Linked DNA regions of Struthio camelus. The main gene of each other region encodes a partner of the protein of the gene in region 2 in a complex. Links are inferred from orthologs where the notes say so. Each region holds a gene or a part of one and is shown on either strand. Other genes may lie near its edges. The genes, in order: MYOM1 and OBSL1.

Evidence for each region.
Region 1: the proteins of OBSL1 (region 2) and MYOM1 are in contact, whole or in part, in a crystal structure (PDB 5FM5), measured with the Homo sapiens proteins. The link is inferred for Struthio camelus from reciprocal best matches to the Homo sapiens genes OBSL1 and MYOM1. Residues at the interface, in NP_056126.1 of Homo sapiens: Pro243, Lys253, Phe255, Val257, Asn258, Gly260, Lys261, His262, Ala263, Lys264, Phe265, Arg266, Cys267, Tyr268, Val269, Met270, Gly271, Lys272, Pro273, Pro275, Trp279, Lys305, Tyr308, Tyr317, Cys319, Ala321, Arg322, Asn323, Ser324, Ala325; in NP_003794.3 of Homo sapiens: Arg616, Pro617, Ser618, Ala619, Pro620, Trp621, Thr622, Gly623, Gln624, Ile625, Ile626, Val627, Thr628, Glu629, Glu630, Glu631, Pro632.

Annotation. Positions count from the first base shown.
Region 1 is NC_090943.1:118,821,043-118,833,251, reverse strand, and holds the start of MYOM1 (myomesin-1), read right to left. Parts: upstream 5,663-12,209; 5' UTR 5,489-5,662; intron 4,167-5,488; exon of another isoform or gene 3,982-4,166; intron 1,999-3,981; 5' UTR 1,939-1,998; coding exon 1,508-1,938; intron 1-1,507. UniProt on the Homo sapiens protein: Major component of the vertebrate myofibrillar M band. Binds myosin, titin, and light meromyosin. This binding is dose dependent.
Region 2 is NC_090947.1:27,735,302-27,746,534, reverse strand, and holds the start of OBSL1 (obscurin-like protein 1), read right to left. Parts: upstream 4,935-11,233; coding exon 3,887-4,934; intron 2,435-3,886; coding exon 2,165-2,434; intron 1,970-2,164; coding exon 1,709-1,969; intron 1,316-1,708; coding exon 1,010-1,315; intron 561-1,009; coding exon 282-560; intron 1-281. Other genes in the region: INHA (inhibin alpha chain), read left to right, coding at 7,911-8,277, 9,494-10,227. UniProt on the Homo sapiens protein: Core component of the 3M complex, a complex required to regulate microtubule dynamics and genome integrity. It is unclear how the 3M complex regulates microtubules, it could act by controlling the level of a microtubule stabilizer.

The DNA.
Region 1 (12,209 bases), on a different chromosome or scaffold from region 2:
CTCTCTCCGTGTGACTTCAGTGCATCAAGCAATCTGACTTCCCTTGATATTACTTTATTGAGGTTAAAGGTTTTGGTGAGAAGACAGATGTTTCAGAAGAAACTGATCTGACCACTAAGAGTCGCTGAACTGTTTGTAACTGAGACTCAGAAGCAATTATTTTTATAATCACTTTTTCAATTTCAGGTGATGTTTCCATTTCTTATAGGAACGTTCAAAGTTTTCTACAAGAAGAGTGGGAGTTGGGGTTAGGGTTAGGGTTAGGGACAGATGCACAGTTACATCACTGCAGCACAGCGGCAATTTGGGATACCTTCCCCTACCGGGCGCTTTTTACAAACCTAACCCTCAGTCCCACCATCTCCAGCCTGTGTCCCTGCATCAGCAGATTATAGAAGGAGCCTTTCTTACTACTCCACAGTGGTTAATTATTTACACAAGTGCAATAAGTTCAACAGCAAAGACTGAATACTATGTAGCTGAAGATAGACAAGCAGTCAAGTCATTCATTTGGGCTCAGAGAGTCTGAGGTTCAAATTCTTGGACAGACATTCACAGATAGAGACTTGATCCTGAACTTCATGGAAGCCAAGTGAAGGCTGTAAATATGAAGTATTGTTTACTATCGCACAGGTAGTCTTTCTCTCAGTGGTTTTGGCCAAAAATTCCATCTTTAACCTTCAAGGATCTTTAATTCCCAAAATCTAACTTTTCCAGTGGAAAAGTCTTGATTGGTTCTGCTGATAATATTCTATATTTTATATATTAATATAACAGGGAGCAGATGTTTTTGGCTATAATTTGTTGATTGTTTCCTCTACTGCTAACAGCTGCTCTAATCTTACTTTAAAGCTAGGCTAATTTCTGTAAATGTTTGGGATACACACAAGTAATGTGAGGCTACGATATCTAATATAGCAGTGTATATGAATGGAATTGTTCAAGAAATATTTTATCATCTTGTTTAAATGAAAATACGATAGCTAAGCGTAGCTGTTCTTCTAGCGCAAGAACACTTCACAGTATTCTTGCTTTGAAAATAGCGTGCCTTAGCCAATTTACAGTGCAAAAAATTCAATTTGTTGAATCAGTTAGCATAAAAATGAAACTGTTATGCAAAAGAAGAATTGTTTCATGATATATGGACCTGTCAGCTCAAACTTGTGTCAACAGCCCCAATTTCTTTTACTGCTCCAACCCGACCAGACAAGAGACAGCCCCAAACCAAAAGCCATCTCAGCACTGCTTATTAGCTTGAGCTGCGTTAATATGGCTAAACAACTTTATACGATATTTGGCTCATGCCTAGCCACTTTGGAGCATAAATATGCTTCAACAAGCTGAGCTAACCAGAGCTCTTCCTAGTCCCAGAACCAAGTTTGAAAAACATTTTAACACCAAGTTACAGCACTTATTTCTGCTAAAGAGAAGGAGAGTTTTGCCATTGATTTGAATGGGAGGCGACTGGGCAAACTGTTCCAGAATATTGTTTCAAATATTTACTTACCCAAGACTGTAGGCTTCAGATCCCAGCCTGTAGGATGCAGCCAGCTTATTGATTGATTCAGATCCATGACTATAGGCAGCTGAGCTCTTGCTGAGGGATTCAGAGTCAAGACTGTAGGCAGCAGACCGTTTACTGTGTGCAGCAGAGTGACGGTCATAGGCTGTAGATCCATAGCTGTAGGCTGCTGACTCAAGGGCATGGGCTGAAGAGCCATGACTATATGCTGCTGAAGACTCAAGGCTGTAGTCTGCTGCAGACGCATGGCGATAGGCTGCAGAGCCCCTACTATAAGCTGTAGCTCCTTGAGCATAGACAGCAGATTTGCTCTTTGCTTCCTTTTGGTACTGGCTTACAGTGGACTGCAGTGCTTTGTGGCGGTATGCACGGTCATAATGCTCATGGTGTCTTTGGTAGAAAGGTAAAGACATCATGAGTGCCTTCTAATTTAGCTTTACTGCACTTTTCTGAATATAAAAATAGCAGGACAGTGTCTGAAAGAGAACAGATCAAACAGATGAAGACTGAACTCAAAGAGACTTTTGAGTTAGCATACATATAATACAAAACTTAACATAAGCTAACACAAAACTTAAAACTTTAAAGGTCAAACGCAACAAATACAGGGTTATAATACTTCCTAGACTTTAAGATGGCTTCCTATTTAGGTTTCAAGAAGCTCATGCGTCATTCATCAGGAGTAGAAATCCTCATACTATTGTGTCTGCTCATTTGTAGTTTACTGTGGTCTCCTAGTTATTGCAAACTATGGAAGCTTCTTCAAAGAAAACGTAAATATTTTTGTTAAATGAAAAACAGGAGAATAAAGTAATAAATAATACAATAAAATATGATAGATTTTAACAAGGTAAATTCACTACTTTATAAGCTGAGATCAAAATATATGAACATCTCATTCATTTTAGCAATTCAATTTTCAGATACCTTTTAATATCCAGCCTAATATTTTAAGAGTGAATTAAAAGCAGTAAGACTGACAAGGATGTCACCTTGTTTGGTAAACGTATATTACATTTTTTTTATTTGATACTAGAAATTCATTTAAAAGAGCTTTTCATACTTTTGCAGCTCAGTAAGGGATACAGTCTGTATGCACCGATTAGAATTCTACCATCAGGTTCATCAGTCAGACCCCTTTTTTAACCTAGAACCGCATGTTCAAGATCTTGAAGAAATTCCCTCCAGATAGTATCGCCATTTGGGATCACAGTCATCAGTAGATTATCTTGCAGTGTCTCATAGTAGGAAATTTGATCAGATGAGAGGTGGTTCCCCTTTCAGAATGGGAAGAGGGTTAAAGGCAGAAAGGATTCCCCTTTAGTTTCTTAAATGACAATCCAACCTTTATTTTGTTATTATTTTGTTTTGCTGTTGTTAAAACTGGTATCGTCTTCTCTGGCAAGGAAACTTGTCTATGCTAATTCCTCATAATAACATTTCTTTCTCCTGCCATTGGTGATTAGGCTTATAAGATGGAAAGGACTTTCAGTGAAGAAGCTAGATGGCTACAAATAAAAGTGAGCTGCAGTGAGGGAACTTTTAGAAAAGTATAACGAACGTCCAAAAACAACGGTGAGAGGTGCTTGTTGCTGTTTTTTTCCCCATCAGTTACAATAATATGGAACTTGTTCTACATCTATTTTTATTCATGTTAATGAAACTGCTTATCTGATATTTCGATAGAAAAAACGTTTACAGAGCTAGCGTATAATCTTGATTCCATGGAAATCAAGAATTTTGTCCCTGGTCTTTTGTCGCAGCCAAGATTTTGCTTCTCAGGTTTGTTTTTAGTAGTTGGTTGTGGTAATAAGTCGAACAATTTCAGTTAATTCTCTTTAATGACTAATCAAACTTAGACAAATTACGAAAAGAAAAAAACAGGATTTCAACTGTCCTAAATTTCAGGACCCACTCAAGGTCTAGGAACTGTTTTTCAACTGATAATAGAACTGAACTCTCAGTTTGCAGAAAGTTAACAATAAACGGAGAAAGTCATTCAGAAGTCCTTAAGTATATAAAAGAAATCTCTGATATCCTGACCATAGTGGAACTACGAATTCAAGGGGACTAGCTAATCCATTTACTCTATTTTTACCTGAGGAAGAAGGAGGAATAGGAAAAACTGTTAGCTCATTGTTCCCTGCAGTGAAAACTAATGCTTCACTTTAATTTCCTTATTTCTCCTGATGGCCCTTTTGCACACAAGTCTAGCAAACCCAATGAATCTGTACAGAATCCTTTTTTCTAATACCTATCAATATTTTGTGTTGCTTTTTGATTCACTTTGTTGGCTTCCAGTGGTATATAGTTCCTCTTAATTTGCCTCCTTTTATAACATTTCTTCTCTATTTTTCTTCGTTGCTTTCTCTCCCGGCTCCAAAGAGTTAGATTTAGGGATTGCAAGCCAGTGTGACGTCTGCTGAGCAAAGTTAAATCCTACAGATGACTCTTGTTCTACTCACGGAAAGAAGAAGAACATGAGCACATTCTGTTTTCCATTTGTAAAGCACTACAATTTTTTTCCTTCTTCACCTGCTGTATTTGCAGCACTGGTTAGCTTCGTCATGGATATTAACAGCCACACTACTAACAGCCATGCAGTCCCTGTGGCTCAGGGATTTCCACAGCTTAAGGATTCAAGGTAAGGAACTGATCCAGAAGTATAAAGCACTGCATATATTGCATATTAAAGATAAGTTAAATGAGACATTGATATTTATATATTATAACAGCAAAGAAGAATCAGTGGATTTAAAGTCAACATATTTAAAATGTATAAAGGTAACCTTTTTCTTCCAAATACAAAAGCTCTGGACTAAAGCTATGCCTCAGAAAAACTGAGTTGGATTCATAAAAGGATTATGCATTTATGTAAGTAAGAGCTAAGACACTAAGATATGAGCTGAACAGGAAGCCAGCTCCCCCGGTTCAAATCAAAGGCCAATGGTTACTCATGAGATACAAGAGGAAACTCTTTTCATAGGTATTTTATTACACTGTGACTGTTTTATATTTCCTCTGAAACATCTAGCATTGTTCACTGGTAAGGATCAGCTACGATAGTCTGATCCAATGTAGTAGGTAAACGTTTTTGGAAATAACAAGAAACTCTGAACCTCCTAAGGATTTTGCTCCTATTCAGAGCACTGTCTGCTTGTGGAATTGGCTCCCATCCCTTATGTTTTACAAAATTCATACTACCTGTGTCTACCTACTGTGTGGCCCACTAATCAGGCTCCTTCATATGAGGGTAGCACCCCATCTGAGATCTGTATAGGATTTCACATTTGCAGAGCCGGGCCTAAAAATATTAGCTAGATGCAAGTTCATGTTTTGGAGCCGTTATTACCAGCTGTTGGACTGAATTTTCAAAATGACAGCTAAGTAGACAGCCTACAAGTACAGAGTTCTGTACTTGTTTGTAGGCTGCAAATAAACACTATAGGAAATTATTTTATTGGCATTATCTGTTGCACTACTTAGCAGTCTGTATAATTCTTTAAAAATGAACTCAATCTGTTAGTGAAAACAGTGAAATAGGAAAAACAGAAAAGCTTATAAGCAGGAGAAAAAAAAAAGTAAGATTTCCTTCAGCTCAGTCAATAGTACTTCATCTCCTTTACAAATCATAAAACATCCCATGCAACTAGAAAATATTTAGACTATTTACACATTCCCTAAGGCCAAAGAACTCACACAACAAATTCCTCCTGTATCTCAGTAACTCAGGCTTCATTTGAGAGTACCGTAACAATCTGTAAGGACAGCTGAGTTGATAGTAAGTAAACCAATGCACTACTTTGCTTTGTCTGAACCTGCAGATTTCTTCAACTCAGTTCCACAACTCCCTCAAACAACTGCTGAGCTGAGAAGATTAAAGGGAGCTACTATCAGCTTGGCATTACAGATTGAAAATAAAAATAGCTGAACATGTACATTCTTCTGTCGTAAAGGAACACTTACCGGGACCCAAATGAACAATAACAAGTGGAATAGTTCTGAGGTGGATGAATAACAGAAAAACACAGCAAGGGTGAATCCAGCAAAGAGGTAGTCAGGACCAGGGCTAAGGACTGGACTTTACAGTCCAGAACAAAAATAATGCCTGCGGTCAGTGGAATGCCAGAGCCCCAGTCCAGACCTTTTATGGCCAGGAGGCTGATAAATATAGCATCGAAGAGGGAGAGGAGAGACAGAGACAGATAAAGATACTCTGCGCTGTCTCTGTGCAAGCACATGATGACGACAGCTTCCAACTGAGTTCTCTCCTTTTAAGTATCTTCACTACATTCAGTGCAAAATCTGTATTCCGATTCACAATTATTTATAGGATTTTTTTTTCTAAGTTACATCAGGTTTAGAAGAGAAAAAAGAAAATGTAATGTGTCATGAACCAGAAGTAGGAAAGATCCATCTCAGTATTGACCTTTGCCATGGTGCATGCACCATGTACTTATTTCAGCTAAATGACAGACAACATAGAGTAGTTTCAGCAAAACTCTATAAAGCCATAGAGGTGTTACTATACGGCTGTGTACTTTATTCTGTTGACAGTGCTATGTTTTCATCGTCTTATTTAAGATAAAATTCTAAATTAAGCAGATGACCTCATGAGGCATTTAAGTAGATATAAACAATGCAGCCTTAAGAGCCAAATTTTTTTTCTAAACTCTAAACAGTATTATCTCTGCCACACCAGGGATAATTAAGTGGGCTTTTCTTCTTTCATTTCAGTTACAGCAGTTTGGCATAGAAACGTACAATCACTGTTGCTGAATATTACAGCAGAATAATTTCTGTCACCTGGAAATAGCCTTTAATACGTGGAATGCACTGTGACTTTATTGTAAATATATATTTTCCTCCGCATACTTAATATTCAATACAAATGATTAGTCCGCATTATTTTGCACATTCGCACTGAGAGAGGTGTTAACCCTAACTCTCAGTTCTTAGTTGTTTTCCACCCACCATGCAACACAGCTGAAAACTTTCTAGATCATCATCCTTTTCTGAGGCATTCCCCCTTCTGGGTGGAAGTGGCAGTAGCAGGTCTGGACTAGACCTGTGACTAGGAGCCTCTTCTGTATAAAGTCTCTCCGGTATCCTCTTCACCTCAGCTTCCTTGATTCCACCTAAAATCTCTTTGGTTCCCACACTTCCAGAACCTGCCACTAGCTGCTTGTTCCCTGGGCAGCTACTACCTCCTGCCTCAAGCTGCACCGTGCAGTAAGGTCACCTGGCTCCCCACCTGCCACGCTGGGAACTGCTAGCCTCGATTCACCATACGGGCTTTTGGTGTTTGCCCCCTAGCACAGGAGCTACGGTCAGTAAAAAGTTGGACAGCCCTACAGATTGGCCACACCTGCAATTGGAGGAATGAAAAGCTGGAACCCTAATAGGACCTTTTCTTTCCCCGGGCCAGCCTGTGATTCCAGCCCTCCCTTTGCTTGCTGCACTCCTAGGTGAAAACAAATGTTGAACAAGAAAGGCATTCCTCAGATTGTATTTTAGCCTGCAGAAGTAGGGGGAAATAAATTAGGGGTGAAATGAACCAACATCCGTGTGAGTTTTCCACTCTCAGCGCTGAGTCGACACTTCAGTTGCTGTCCCATCTCTGGTCTCAGATTCCCCACTGCCACTGCTCATATTGGAGACCAGCCTGCTCTCCTTCTCACTATCTGCCATGACAGACGGGGATGGAAAATCGTTACATCATAAATTTAGCAAAACCCACCTGAAAAAGAAAGATTTTTCTCATCGCCGCTGCTTCACACCTTTGATCGCTAGGAAATATCCTATTTCACACCTAAATGTGTTCCTGACTGATTAGACCTGTCTAACTCTGTGTTAACATCGCCCATCAGTCTGACTATTTATTTTCCCTTCCTGATGCTTATTACCCTGAATGTATTTTGAGAGCAAAAATGTCCCCCTCATCTTTTTGTTCTGCTTAGCTAAATAAATAGCTCCTTTACTCCTTTTCATAAGTTAGGCTTCTCGTTTCATTGCTCATTTACTAATCCTTCTTTGTGCCTGTTCCTGTTTGAATTCATCTTTTTCCTACCCCATGGGTGATCTGCGCCTTACAGGACTCCAGAGGAAGTTTCATTAGAGCGTTACCCTCCTACTGTGACACATCTCTGGCTTCACTGGAAAAATGTCAAACGATAGCTTTCATAATTGCATTGGCTTTTTTCACATATACATCTGGTGACTCATCCTGACTGATTAAAGTCTTCAGGTATTTTTTCTCTTCTGTCATTTCCAGCTGAGGAAATCTAATGGCATCTTACGTTTTATGAGCTGACACTTTGTACTACTGAATTTTATCTCTTTATTATTCTTAGCCTTACCATCCATCTCTTCCTGTATCATATTCTAATCCTTCTTTGCATGGTGGATGCATCTCAATATTATGCAATCAGCAAATTACATCAGCACTTTCTTATTTTTCTACTAATGTTGCCCGCAAAAATATTGAATAACTTGGCCTGAAGACTATTTATTCCTTTCCTAGTAGAATTGCTCCACCTGATTCTTTCCCTCTCAACAAAACCTGTTATTGGTCTTCTGGCCATTTTCTTGTCTGCCCTGCACTTCTGGTGTAAATCCCCCATTTTAATTAAAAGCTTTGCAGGTGGCGCAGCATCAAATCTAGATGGATTAAATCAGTTTGTATTTCTGTTTAGAAATTATTTATCATAGTAACAAAAAAGATAGGTTCCTTGATCTGTTCTTGATTCTGCTTGTACTGATCTTGATAGGCTATGTGATTTATTATCACTGAGCACATTCCATCCAAATTTCCATTTTTCTCCAAAATTTGGTAATTCTTTCCTCAAAATTTGTTTTAAAGCAAAATTTTATCAGAAGTCTTACAAGTTATTGATTGTTGGTGTATAGATTGGTTTTTCATTAACAAACTATTTGCCCTCTCATTATTAGTAACATTTGCTCCACAAACTCGTCATGACAGCTGGAAGTGTCCCATAATAAGTCATCTGCTGGCAGCATTCATTTTTCCTCACAACATGGTAAGATTTCTGTTTGTATTCAAACCTGACACAGAATCTATGGCAGGCTCCTAGAACTATCTCAACAGAAAATTTTTATCATCTCTCAGAGTGTCTTTGGCATATCCATACTTTATCCATCCATATGCTCTGTTTTCATTTTATATAATACATCAAAACAAATGGATGTTAAGTGATGTCCCACCCCATATCCATCTGTTTTTCCTAAACAACATATATCCTTCGGTACCTTTATTCCAGTAACGGTTGACAGTTTCTGTTATCCTTACTCTATTTGGCTTTATATCTTGCACTAGAAGTGTTCTCATTTCTCTGTATTTCTCAGCAGCTGCTAGGGACCTAGCAGGCCAAGATCAGTTTACCCACATAGCATGTCTTTATCCAGGGAAAATGTTCTGCTGTGTAGTCAACATGAGAATGGAGGGATTCTTGCCCAAAATATGATGTTTGTCTTTGACCTACCATGAGTCTGTAAGCCAGCTGTGGCTTTGGAACTGGTGACTCATTGTAGCATGACCCCGTAACGAAGGGAGGCATAGCAATGAGGCTCACAGAACCAACGGACAGGTATATTTATATTGTTTTTTTTTTATTTTTCAGCCAAAAGCCTGAGGCTATTCTGCCTAAAAATTTGGCATGACCATAGCTAGCCTTTTGTCTCTTTCAGAATTCTTGTGTCCTATGCACCTACTGTTACGGTAAGTTTGCCAGAAATACTCAAGATGCGCTACTGCTCAGGGAGACATAACTAAAAGTCTCCAATTACCATTTTCAAGAAAAAAATAACAGATTCTTTGACCTGAGACATGCAGTCTCGGGACTTGATTCCCTATTGCCTTGCTTGTGATATTTATACCTGTGGGAAATCAGGACAAGATTGGCTTAAAAACTGCTTCCATATATTTCAATTTACGTCTACATTCCACAGACACAAATAACAATATGAAATGAAAAGCTGTCAGCAAACAGACCCATTTTATCTTCGTTTGGGTTCAGTTAGGCACAGCCAAAATCCCAAATGCTGAAGATACATCATTGCAAAAGTCTGGCTCCAGGTATCTCCTCAGGTTGTCATTACTATTGGATATATACATTTCAGCTATCTCAGCTAGTCTCAAATGTAGAACTGTCACCCAGGAATATCATCTTACTAATAGTTTAGGTAGTAAGTACGTCTTTGCTCCCTAACCAAGAAGCCAACAACTTTTAAAAGTGTTTTACTTTGGTTGTCTTACAGCTTTCTACCCCAGTAGAGCAGCAGCAACAGACTATTTCTAGATCAGCTGTTTCTGAGGAACTATTAACAGTCTTGGAAAGACTGGTCAAAACATCTTGACAGATGACTGCTGAAGGACCAAAGAGATGTTTCAAACTACGACAACTCACATGTAGAGGACTTGACTGCTGTAAATATTTACTCCTGCTCCTGGTAGTAGCTCCTGCTATTTAGTTACACAGTTTTTAGAATGAACTAAAACACTTTTAAACATGAGGTAAGTAGTCTGGCCAAATTATTTAGATACTTGTCCCTTCATTTATCGTTCAATAACTTATTTATCATTATCTTAGATGGTGACTTTGTATTGATTGTCTCTCCCATTCTTCTTACCAAAAGTCTTCTAAACTGCATGACTTCATTACGAAGCAAATGAACTATAGATATCGCTTTACTTACAGATTTAAGCCACTATTACACTAATACAAAGCAATAGCCTCCAATATTACAAGGATCAGTACTACAGTAATTCAGGCATAGCTAATACAAATCACTACGTAGGCTATAATAACAACTCTCATTTTCCTCCTATGGGTCTTCATATCACTTGCTGAAATACTTCTGAAACAACAAACAATTTCTACTATAGGAAAGGATCATGGGAGTCCCTCGATAGAAAAAAAAGAATTGTTTTAGCTATCACACTTGCAAATGGTTTCAAATATAGTAATTAAGCCGAACAAAGTTTCAAGGAAAATTTGCATCAAAATTTACAAATGTTTTATTCAATACATCCTGTAGGACTGAGACATGAGTTTTAAAACATCAAAAGCAATTAGGCATGAAAAACTGTTTCAGAAGATGAGGACTTAATGGAAAGAGATCTAGTGAAGGAAAGATGAAGAGAGGAAAATAAACTGGAGTTTAGTATATGAAGACCAGAAAATGATACATTGAAGAAAAGGAGGAACTAAGATGGAAAAGATCTGAAGGATAAAGGCACAAGTCAGAAATAATGTTAGTGATTATTTATCATGTGTGATTTAGTTTTAAACTAATTAGTTCGCAGCAGCAAAGGATTTTGAGACAACTGGAAAACTCGCCAGGACCCTTTGTAAATAGTTAGGCAATTAATCAAACTATTTTAAAAGTTTTTTTCTTTTTCCGGGTGCTTAAAATATATTTCCCATAGCTTGTAGCTTCAGGGTGCAGTACAGTCATATTCCACAAGGGTAGCAGTGTACTTAACTTCGAAATGAATGGACTCTGATTTTTGTGTGATGGACTAGCATTCTCATTTCTCAATCTACACTACAAGATAAATTTCCTACATTTGGGGCAAACTCAAGTTTGGAGACCGCAGTAAAAGGGATCTGCATCAGCCAAGAGAAGATACTTAAGAAAGAAAGGAGAAGAACATAAGAAATTGCTAGGCAAGGTTAGTCCCGTATCCTGATTGACAGTAGCCAGTACTAGATGGTCAGTAAAAGGTACGAGAAACCACACAGTGGACAGTTTTGCCAAAACCTTTCTAAGATGTTTCCCCTTAACGTTTGTTGTTGTTGTAATGGTTTAACCAAGCCCACTATTTTAAAAAATATAAGTTTTAGAATAACTCTCTGTGATTTATAGTAAAACCTCTCCATTTGGTTTCATGCTAGTTCTAGAGACGTGAGTATGAACTTTACTGACTCCTTGAAAGTCAATTTGAATTTGGTGACTTTCTAAGCTGTGCAAAATTACTAGTCCCCATGTGTGTTTTTCTCTCTACAGCTTATTATTGGCTTCCTACCAGCGGTCAGTGTCCTATTAGCATGCCCGTGCCTCTTCCACTGAACTACCCTTCAGGAGGACACATAAGTATAGTGATAGCAGTCTTCCTCCAAAAAAGGGGGCTTGAAAAGGAGCAGAGAACCGCTGCCAGATTTCTGAGCACTGGGATTCAGAATCCAGCAGTTTTATAACTTCACACACACACACACACAAGACTATACCTCAGCAGTGACAAAATGTAAATCTTAATCTAGCAAACTCAACTCTTCCAAGTCATTTAGCCACACCACATTGCAGAAGGACTCCTCCAAAATACTGTGCTTGTGTATGCCAGCAGTGAAAAACAGCTACTTCCAGACGTATCTGCACCCCTTTCAGTATTTTCACCGTCTAAGCTGCAGCAAGGCAGGATGAGAGACATACACCATACGGGCAATAGATGTGCCCAAACCCCTCTGGCTGCTGTGGTGCCTGAGGAAAAGGGACTACAGGTTCATTGCCAAAGAAAGAAAAACTTTGTGACCAGAAGTGGGAGACTTAAGAGAGGGTACCCAAAGGTACCTAGGGGAAAGGGGGGCACAAAGCAGGAGATGGCCTCTAGCTATCAAAATATCCTTCTCTGTCTCCACAAGGAGCTGACTTGGAAAGCATAACAGCT
Region 2 (11,233 bases):
CCCACAGTGCTTAGAGGTGCTTTGTGCTCCGCAGGTCCAGCTCAAAGGAGCAAAGCCAGTCTTTCTTGCAGGAAGCCAGCACTCCCTGACCTGGGGCTGGGAGGCAACAGCACGTCAGAGGCCACTCGCCCACCTCCTGCTCCTGAGGTGACTCTAAGGAGGGGGTGCTGGACATGGGAAAAAGCCCAGGCAACCCACAGCTCAGGAGGGGTGACTGCAACCGATGTGCCATCCTCCATCCCGTGCTGCTCTCTTCCCTGCCAGACCCCAGCCCTGCTCACCTTGCACCTGGAGCGTGGCTGAGTCCCGAATGCCGCTGGACACAAAGGTGACCTGGGCCCCGCTCTCCTCCAGCCGCACTCCCCGGATCAGCAGGGAGTGCTCCATTTTGCAGTGCTGCACGCAGTACCGGCCGCCTACCGCCTCCTCATCGCCCAGCCTCACGCCGTTCAGGAACCAGGCACCCCGCACCGAGGCAGAGAGCTCCAGGGAGAAGTGCGCATCCTCACCGTCCCGCACCCGCGCGTCCTGCAGGCCTCTCTCCAGGCGAGCTGCCGGGACTGGAGCAGGGCAGGACTCAGCCCCAGACAGCAATGGCACGTGCCAGGGGCCAGCAGACCCCAGAAGCATGCTGACCCTGGCTGCCTGCTGCCCCTATCCAGCCTCCAGGAGCATCTGGGACCCATCCCCTTGGACTGTGTCAGCGGAAAATTGCCCTGCAGCTCCAGGACCAGGCCATAGTGGCCATCCCATTCTCTCCCGGGAAGAAGAGCTTGGAAGCAGTCTGGGGTGTGTTATTTAAGTGCAGTGCTCTGTGCAGGCTGGCTCACAAGGTCAAGGACCACCAGCTGGGAAAGTTGGCGCCAACAGGCTGGTCCTGAAGGCAGGTCAAGGGCTGGTCCAGCCCATCCCAACAGATTCCTAAGGAAAGCCAGGTCTCAGCCCGGCCTGGGAGGCCCAGAGGGGGACGAAGGAAGACCCATGGCCCAGATGGAGTTGTAGCCCTCACCAAGATGCACGGAGCCGGGGAACTCCACGGGCCTGCTCCTGCCGTACTTGTTGACAGCACAGACACGGAAACGGTAGTCTGCCTCGCAGGGCACGCTGTCGCCCAGCACCTCCACCAGGCTGGCCAGGTCGGTGGTGAGGCAATGCACCCACTCACTGGTGCTGACCTCCTGCCGCTCCAGCACGTAGCTGCTGGGGGGGCGATGGTGCACGTCGGGCGCAGGGCACCACGTCAGCAGTGCCGCGTTACTGTGCTCCGTGCTCATCCTGGCCGCCACCGGGGTGCTCGGAGGGTCGCGCTTCACACCTGCAACCCACAGACAGCATTTCCTCCTCGGAGACTGCAAGCCAGGCTCCGAGCAGGGGAGCGAGGCAGGGAAAGGGGTGAGTACGGGGCTGCGCAACCTCTTCCACCGAGGATCCTCTCTCTGATGGCAGAGGCTGCTCATGCTTGGAGAGCATCAGCTCAACAGGGGCCTTGCACTCGTGCAGCATAGTGCCAAGCTGCCTGCTATGGGAAGTTGTGGAGCACCAGCAAGACTGGGGCCCTGGGGCCAGGGCCCTGCTAAAAGCCTCATTCCCCAAAGAGCAATTACAGCTGTCACATCCCCAGTGCAGTGGGTGCCCATACTGGCTCTCCTCCATGTCAGCAACCCGTGAATGGGGAGGAGGGAGGACATGGGGTCCCTTAGGAGCTTACACTTGACCCGGAGCTGGGAGGATGTCTGAGACTCCCCAACCGCAAAGGAGATGACGCCCGCCTCCTCCCGGGTGACGTGCACCAGCACCAGGAGGTGAGTCCTGCCGAAGCTCTTCAGCACGGTGTGGGACGACTCCTGCAGCTCCTGCCCGTTCCGGCTCCAGCAGATCCCCTCCACCGCCTCCCGCGTCTCCACACAGAAAGCCGCGTTCTCCCCCTCCATGACGTCCAGCTTCCGCGGCAACCTCTTCACGATCACCCCTGAGAAAAGGGCCAGGTGAGGGGTGGGGAGGGAGCAAGGGGCAGGAGAGGGGTAGAAGAAGTCTAGGAGGGGTAACAGCAGGCACGTGGAGGTGTGCGGGCAAAACAGTGGGAGGGCAGATGCAGGGGGCAGCAGGGAGCTGCCTGGCCTGGAGGGGGGAAGGTAGAGCTAGGGGAGCTGGGCCTGCCCCCCACCTCGGACGGAGACCTCAGCAACGCTGCGCCCCTTGTCCTTCATCTGGCAGAGGTAGATGCCGTCGTCGTCGGTGCGGGCGTCGCGGATGGTCAAGCGCCGCAGCACGCCGTGCTCCTCCATGACGTACTTGGGGCTGGGCTGGAGCTCCTTGTCCTCCAGGTACCAGGCGGTGGGAATGGTCTCCAGCGGCACATGGCACTCCAGCACGGCGTCCTCCCGCTCCTGCACCTCCACGTCCGCCAGCTGCACCTGGAAGCGCACGCGGTGCTCTGGAGCCAAGAGAGAGACGGGTGCTGAGGAGCGCACGGGGCCAGCACCCCCACCGCCACCACTCGGCCCCCTCCCCGTGCCCTATGCCAGCTCTCGCCGTCCTTTGGCCCTTTGCGCAAGGCTCTGCCAGCTTGAAAATAACACCAAACCCTGGGCCCCCCTGCCCCGCAGCCTCTCCTGGTCACTGGGGGCCAGTCCACAGCGCTGCTTGCCAGCAGTGGCCAAGCCCCCGCTCTCCGCCTTGACAAACGTCCCAGCTGGGACGCCTGCGCCTGCCCGGCTGCCAGCTCAGCTCAGCCCCGGGGACAGCATCGTCCCCGGCTTCCCCGGCTGTTCCTGGACACCACAGCAGACACCGCCACCGCCAGCCCGTCCCTCCAGGACGCTGGGGCATCCTCCCCCGGCCTCCGTCCGTGTCCTCCGGTCGGGCGAGGGCTCAGGCTGGATTTTCCCTGCCCTCGGCACAAGCCGGGCAGGTGTGGGCAGCACCCTGCCCTGCTCCCCACACGTGTCCCCGGCGAACACCCCCGGCGCTGGTCCGCACAGCCCCACGGGGTGGGAGAGGGCAGCGCGCTGCCCCTGGCCGCTATTTTGGGCCGCGGCAGCTGGGCGGGAGGCGTGCAGCAGGGTTGGAGCCAGACCCCCTCCCAGGAGGGGCCCTTCATGGTGCTGCAATGCCAAATGGCGCTGCAAAAGCCCCCGCTGCCTGTGACGGCCGCTGCCCCGGGGAGCGATTTCCCAGAGCGAGGGGAAACACGGCGCAGGTCAGCAAAGCCAGGCGATGCCGCCAGCACCTCAGCGGCGAGCTCCCGGGGATGCAGAAGCGTGCAGGGCAGCACGCCGCAGCAGGCGTCCGGGCAGGCGGCGCTGCGCGTGGGGTGGGTGCACGGCCGCCGGCGGGCTGGCAGCGGGGCAGCGCCAGGTGCTGCATCGCCCTCGGCGAGGGGCCGTCCTGGCATCCCCAGCTGGCAGCGGGGCTCCGTGCAGGCTTTGCCAGAGGGACGGGGCTGTCGCCAGCGCAGACGCTTGGTGCCGTGCCCTGCAAGGCTCCCAGCCAAAGCTGCTCTGCGCTTGCAGGGGAATTTGTCACCAGCATGTCGCGCCCCCTCCCTGCTCGCGGCCTGACACGCGCAGCCCCCTAGAAACATCACCCCTCTGCTTACAAGGAGAGGGGCATGGCGGGGGGACAAACACGGGAGCTACCAGCCCCTGGGGCAGCCCAGCAGCCCACGCCTGCCGCTGGCCCCGTCTCGACAGACCCCAGAGGCGCCCCGGCCCCCGCGCGCCCCCAGGCCTGCCCGAGCCCCTGGGAGGGGAGCCCAGCAGCGCTTGCTCAGCCCGCGTGCCCTGACATGCACGTGCACGCGCAGATGCGCCCCTGCTAGGCAAACAGCCCCAAAAGCACACCCGCAGCCCCCCGCAGCCCCGGCGGCCCGTGGGCCGGTACCTACCCTTCACCTGGAGCTGCACAGCGCTGAGGGTCTGGCCGGCCGTGTTGGAGGCGGTGCAGATGTACAGCCCCTGGTCCTGGGGCTTGCAGTACAGCACCTTGAGGATGAAGTAGCCCTCCCTGTCCTCGTAGACGAGGTGCCTGCGCCCCGGGGTGACGGGCTTCCCGTCCTTCTTCCAGACGATCTCCGGCTTGGGCTTGCCGGTCACGTAGCAGCGAAACTTGGCGTGCTTCCCCGCGCTCACGGCGAACGCCTTGGCGCCCGGCACGCCGGCAGGCACCTCACCGTTGGGCAGCGCCCAGCCCTCGGGCACGGTGCTCTGGACGGCGGCGTGCCGGCGGCGGTGCTGCTGCCGCTCTCCCGGCTGCTCCAGGCCGTTCCCGGGGGACCCGCGGGATCGCTCGTCTGGCAGCCCCGGCGCCAGGGGCTCGACCAGGAGCACGGCCGCAGCCAGGGCTTCCCGGGAGCCGCTCCGCGCCCGGCACACGTAGACCCCCCCGTCCGGGGGCCGAGCGCTGAACAGCTTCAGGAAGTGCCAGTCTTCAGGCTCCTTCCCCACCGAGAAATGACTGCTCTCAAAGAGGTCGGAGAGCTCGTGCCCATCCTTCTCCCAGTGCAGCACCGGGCAGGGCTGCCCTGACACCCTGCAGGTGAACATCACGTCCTCCCCCCGGCACACCCGCATCGACGAAGGCCGGACCAGGAAGACGGGTGGCTTGTTTTCATGGTCTCCCTCCTCCTGGGGCTCCCCGGCCTCCACTTTGAGTGTGGCAGCAGCATAGGTCTCGCCAACGTTGTTCTTGGCCTTGCAGACGTAGAGCCCGCTGTCCTCCGGGGTCACTCGGGAGACCAGCAGGCTGTAGACATTGCCCTTGGCCTCCACATGGAAGCGGCCTGACGGTTCGATCGGGGTCCTGTCCTTCTCCCAGAGGATGCTGGGGCGGGGGTCGCCCGCGATCTGGCACTTCAGGACGGCGTCAGCGCCGTTTTGCACCGTGAAAGTGCGCGGGTAGGCCAGGAACCTGGGTGCTCCTGCAAACCCGTCCATCCCGGCCTCCCCGGCCTCACAGCGGGCAGCTCAGCGGGACAGCAACGGGGATCATCAACCTGGAGCGATGCACGGACAGACCGGGGCTGGGGTGAGGCTCCAGCTACGGCCCTGGTGCGGGGCACCTCCGGGAGGCACCCCCTGCGCCCCGCGAGCACAGCAGGAGCACTGCATCTCCTCCCCTCGCTCCGAGCCCCCTGCCCCACTGGGCTGCAGGGACACGGGCTGCCCCAAGCCCTCCCGGGGGCGGCGGGGGCCTGAGCCAGGATGCCAGCGCCCCACGAACATGCTGTTTGCCTGACTTGGCGCTTCCCTGAATATGCTCCAGCCTCAGCCCAAACCAGCCATTTTTCTGCCCAACAGCCGTGGGAAAGGTGGCAGAAGACAGTGCTTCGTGCCCCAAGGTGCCTACAGCCCCGGCTGTATATGCGTACAGACAGGACCCCCAGCTCCAGGAGCACAGGGCCCCTGGCTGGATGGGGCACGGGAGCGAAGGCAGCTCCACGCGGGGTGCCGGGGACGGGAGATGGGGCAGGGGCTGGGGCCGAGGCAGGAAGGGCCCCAGCCCCGGCCGTCCCCACCCGCGGGGGCATTCCTGCGGTATCGGGTGGTGGCAGAGCCACATTCCTGCAGCATCTGGGCTGGCTCAGGCGCAGGTGCTGATAAGGGGCTGTCATGGCGGGGGGCGGGGGGGAATCCGGCCGGATCCGGGTGCTTTCTCCCCGGCTCAGCAGGACAGGGAAGCAGGGCTCCCAGCAGAGCTCCCTGCCTGGGGCAAAGAGGGGCTCCCCACGGAGAGGAGGTCCCTGCTCCAGAGCGTGGCTGCAAAGGCAGGATCCCCCACCCCAGCCATTAGGTATCAAAAGCCGTAACTCTAAATGAAATAACCAGGCGCTCAAGCCCCAGGGGTGCAGAGGGAACGCTGTAGGGACCGATCCTGCTGCCAGGCAGCCAAGACACCGACTCGACCCCCAGCCCCGCAGGTGACAATATCCATCATCACAGGCTGGAGAGCGGCAGCGTGGTCTCTCTGCCTGGCCTCTGCCCACACCGTCACCGGGGCTGGGGGCAGAGGTGTCTCTGCACTGCTCAGGCAGGGCAGGACATGGGGAGAGAGAAGCCAAGATACTGCCTGAGCGAAAGGGCAGGGGAGGGTGGGACGGGGCCGGGGTCCCCAAGAAGGAGGGACCAGGGCCAGATTCTCCTCCCAAACCTCTACCTGCAGGCAATGCATTCATTCAGTGAGGCATTCCCGGCCAGATGCTCCTCTAGTCCCACGGGCTGCCCCAACAGCAGCTCCCACAGACAGGCACAGCCCCGACGGCTTGGCCACTCTGCTACTCCCCTCCAGCTGCCCCCGTGTCCCCCCGATCCCCCTGCCCCACGCAGCCCCCACACCACAGTCCCCTGCCCCACACACGTACCTCACTCCTTCGCCTCTTCCCTGTGTCTCCCAGCACCGGCACCCAGCTCCTGCTGCCTCCCCCAGCTCTGCTCCTGGACGTCAGCATGCAGGGACCAAACGTTACAAATGCCTGCAGCTGCTGTCCCCAAAAATACCCTCTGATGACACATTGGGCTGATAAGACTGAGCCTGCTCCATTCAGTGCCTTGGCTGGGAAGGGCTGGCCTATGTATAGCGCCCCAGCAGGAGAGCGGCCCTGCCTGGAGTGGGGAGACAGTCCTTGACCTCCAGGGCTCCAGCGTTCGGCAGGCTCAATGGTGCCACGGTGTGGGGTCAGCCTGCCGCAGGAGAAAACACATTGTGTGGGACCCAGGCTGAACAAAGATGGGACATGCCACCCGGGACATGCTGCATGGGACACACCACATGGGAGGGGATATGCCACAGGGGATGCACTGCATGGGATGCCAGGCTGCAGCGAGATGGGACACACCATATGAGACACACTGCATGGGATGCCAGGCTGCAGCGGGATGGGATGTGCCACACAGGATGCACTGCATGGGACACTGGGCTGCTGCAGGAGTGGGCTGGCACAAAAGCTGCATCCCACCATGCAGACACGCAGGATTCCTGGAGACAAGACTCCTGGACACCAGACTCCTGTCACTGTCCCTGCAGGCAGCCGCAGGAAGAAGGGCAGGATGCACTGGGGGGGGGAGGGGGTCCCCTCACAGCCAGCTGCCATCAGGCAGCTCCAGCTCCCAGGAGCAAGTCTGCAGCCAGGCAACCCAAAGGGCACTGTGGCCTCTTTCACCTGGTGCTACTGTAGGGTCTCCAGCTGGCTCAGCTCTGCCTCACTTCTTCCTCCTCCAACTCCATCGCAGGCTGGCCCAGCCTTTCCCTGGCCACTGCCTGTCCCAGGCTGCACGGGGTCCTTTTCCCATCCCTCCTGCTTCGTATCACGGGACCTTGTCAGCCGCCTCCTGCCCACCACAGGCTGCCCTGGAGATGCCGCAGTTCCCCCTTCCCCAATCTGTCCTTCCTCGGGCTCCCTCCTCATGTCCCTGCTCCCCAACGACCTCGAGGTGACCAAGACATCTCCAGCACAAGCATGCCCAGCCTGCCACCCCTAAAGTCCCTCCCCACATCTGGGCCTCACAAGGTTCTGGACCACATTAGGTGTCTGCCCAGGTTTCATCACCCAGCACAGCCACCATCACCTCCCCCTGTGCCCCCAGAAGCCCTGAGCCCGCAGCTCCCTCACCCTGCTCCAGCATGGGGACACCCCACACCGGCAGCTGCCACGCTCGCCCCAGGGTGCCCCTCCATCCACACTGGCACAGCAAAGCCTTCACGGCAGCACGCTGCCTGCAGCCTGGCCTCCCCCAGCCCCGTGCACCCACTGCCCCGGCAGCATCACCCCCGCGCCCCCCTCCCTGGGCGCCTTCCCCCCCCCCCAGACCACACTGTCCTTGCAGTCCTTGCATTCCAGACGTCTCAGCGCTTTCGCTGCCCAGAGATAATATTCACGGCGAGCAGACGTTTGCGTCAGTGTCAGATACGTCTCAATGCCACCGTGCCCCAGGCGGCGCGCAGTGGGCAGACGGGCTGGGCTTGCAGGCAGGCACCCACGGCAGAGCCCCCCGAGCAGCCGGCCCACCGCACGCCCCGCGGCCATGCTGCTCCTCTTGCACCTGCTGCCAGCCATGCTGCCCCCCGCCGCCCTGGCCGCCTGCACCGGCGCTGGCGCCGACCGGCAGCTCATCCTGGCCAAGGTCCGGGCACGGGTGCTGGAGCATCTGAGCCCCCCTGCACCCCAGGAGGGGCCCCGGCAGGAGGGGAGGAAGATGCATCGGAGAGACGTCCTGGAGACCCCAGAAGTCCCACACGAGGAGCTGGAGGACACCTCCCAGGTGATCCTCTTCCCATCCACAGGTGAGAAAGCCCCTGTGAGGATGGAGAGGGCAGAAGAGCTAAGCTGGGCTGGTGGGTCAGGGCATCAAGCATGCAGCAGGACTATGATGCTGGTGTGGGACAGAGGAAGCAGGTAAGCCAGGCTGGGACGTAGGGGTGGCTGAAATGTGACGGAGAGCCATGAGGCGGAAGGGGAAGGCAGGCAGGGGTAGGCAGGTCAGCCCAGGACCCGGCAGGGAGAGGGGCAGAGGGCAGGTGAGGGGCACAAGAGGCAGGCCAGGGTGCTGACAGCTAGACAGGCTGGGGACTGCCTGAGCCAGCTGGGATGCAGAGAGACGGAGAGGGATGAGGAGAGGACAGGGCAGGATGCTAGGGGACAGGGCAGGACACTAAGGGACAGGGGCAGGATGGAAAGGGATGGGGGCAGGATGCTAGGGGACTGAGCAGCACTAACGGATCAGCCTAGGGTGCAGAGGGGCACAGCTGGCCTCCCGCCAGGGCTCAGCCTGCCCCGGCCCCAGGGAGCTGCTTGCTGCACAGCCCTGGCTGTCCCCCGGGCAGATCTTGCCGCTTGGCCGGGAGCGGGGGGCAGAACGGCCTCCCCACTGGGACAGCAACCCACGCTGGGCACACTGGGACCCCCTCTCCGCCCCACACCCCATGGGAGCCTCCAGCAAGCCTCTGCCAGCCTTCAGTCCCCCTCCGCAGCCCGCAGGGTCAGACTGAGCTGCCCCGAAAGGCGGCCAGAGCCCACGCTCTGCCGCAGCCGCCGGGGACACGGGGCTCCCCAGCCCGAACGCCCGCGAGGGGCAGGACGTGCTGCCCCAGCCCCGACCCTGCCCACGCAACACAGGCTCCAAGCCCCCCGGCGGCGGGCGCTTCGCCCCGTGGGCCTGAGCCTGCCGGCTGTCCGCGAGGCCGGGGAAGCGCCGGGCAGCAGCCCTTCCCGGAGCCGCGGCGCAGGCACCTGCTCGGCCGGCGCCGTGCCGTGCAGTAGCTGCTGCGCAGCGCTAGATGTCAGCTGCCCCGCGCCCGGCCGCCGCCAGGCCTGCGCGGCGGGCACCCTCGGGGACCCCCTCTGCACCACCCCAGCCTCTCGCCCTGCTTTGGGACACCCTGGGGTGCCTCCTTCCCCCGTCCCGGCGGCTTGTGCACGCGGTCAGGGCGCAGGGCGTTTGGCGGCGTGCCCCGGCGCGGGCACCTGCTGCAGCACCCCGGTGCTTTTTTCCCCTTGCAGACGTGCCCTGCGAGCCCACGCAGCCGGACAAGCTGCTGGAGGAAGAAGGGATTTTCACCTACCTCTTCCAGCCGTCACCCCACACCCTCAGCCGCGCCGTGACATCGGCCCAGCTCTGGTTTTACACCGGCCCCGCGGCCGCCCGTAACCACTCGGCCCCGGACGTGCTGACCCTGTCGCCGCAGGGCCGCGTGCCCGTGGTGGCCACGGCGGTGCAGGCGCCCGACCACTGGACGGTGTTTCATTTCGCCCCCGCCTTGCTGCCCCACATCTCGCAGCCGCTCTTCGTGCTGCTGGTGCGCTGCCCCGGCTGCCCCTGCCTGGCCGACGGGGAGAAGATGCCCTTCCTGGTGGCCACCACCCGGGCCAAGGGCAGCGAGCGGGCTCGCCGCTCCACCGTGCCCTGGTCCCCGGCCGCCCTCGGCCTGCTGCAGCGCCCGTCGGAGGACGTGGCCGCCCACACCAATTGCCGCCGGGCCTCCCTCAACATCTCCTTCGAGGAGCTGGGCTGGGACAACTGGATCGTGCACCCCAGCAGCTTCGTTTTCCACTATTGCCACGGCAGCTGCTCCGAAGGCCACGGCTTGAGCCACCGGCTGGGGGTCCAGCTCTGCTGCGCCGCCCTGCCGGGCACCATGCGCTCGCTGCGTGTCCGCACCACCTCCGACGGCGGCTACTCCTTCAAGTACGAGACCGTGCCCAACATCCTGGCCCAGGACTGCACCTGCGTGTAGCGCCCGGCTCGCCCCGCTCGGCCCCGCGCGAGGGGCTCCCTCCCGCCCCGGCACGTCCCAGCCGCAGCCCTGCCCCGGACCGCGGCCCCGGCCTTCCCTCGCCCTGCCCCAAAGCCCTGGGCAGCCCAGGATCCCGTCCAGGGCGACGGAGGAGTCACTGGCACGAGGGAGCCCTGCCCCACGCCGCGGTGCCGTCCCCTGCTCGGGGACGGGGACGAGAGGGGGACCCGGAGCGCCCTGCCCCACGAGCCCCCATGCCACCCAGCGTTTCAGCGCTCCCGCCGGCGGGGCGTTCACCCTGGCAAACCCGCGCCAGGACCCTTCCCCGCACGGCGCGGGCCGGGGCGCAGGGGATCGGGACAGGCGCAGCCTTCTGCAGAGGAGCTGCCAGATACGTACCGCCAGCCCAAAGGCAGGTTTGCATCTCCGACCAGCTCATCCCATGTTTCTTCCCATCCGTCCCTGCCCCAGCACTTTGTCCCCAAAAGAGACTGGGAACGCGCGAGCAGGTCCCCCTCCTGCTGCTTAGTGCAAAGCAGCCCGAAGGCGTCAGGGCACCTGGGGCACGGTTTGCGGTGGCACCTGCAGCACCACGCGGCAGCTCGCTGCTGCTGGGGGGGACGTGGCAGCGAAGCCCCCCCGAGCCTGGTCCCAGGGCCTCGAGGAGGAGCAGGCGCCACCTGAGAAGTCCCATAAAGCCAAGCCCTGACTCCCTGCACGCCCCGGTTGGGCACCCAAGTCCAGAGAGCTGCTGGGTCGCTCCCATCAGCGGTCTGCTAGCCCGAGGCCGCTTGGTCCCTGCAGGTTTCGGAGATGCAAACTGCCCGCCGTGCTCCTGGCAAGAGGCAGGCAGGGGCAGCTCGCGGCAGGGCAGACACGGGGCCGGGGACACGGGCCTGGGGACAAGGGACGGGGTGTGCCGGGGCAGGCCGGGCCGGGATCTTGCACAGGTCGTGGGGCCCGCGGTATGCGTGGCGCTGCAAGCAAGCCCTCTTTGAGTGGCAGA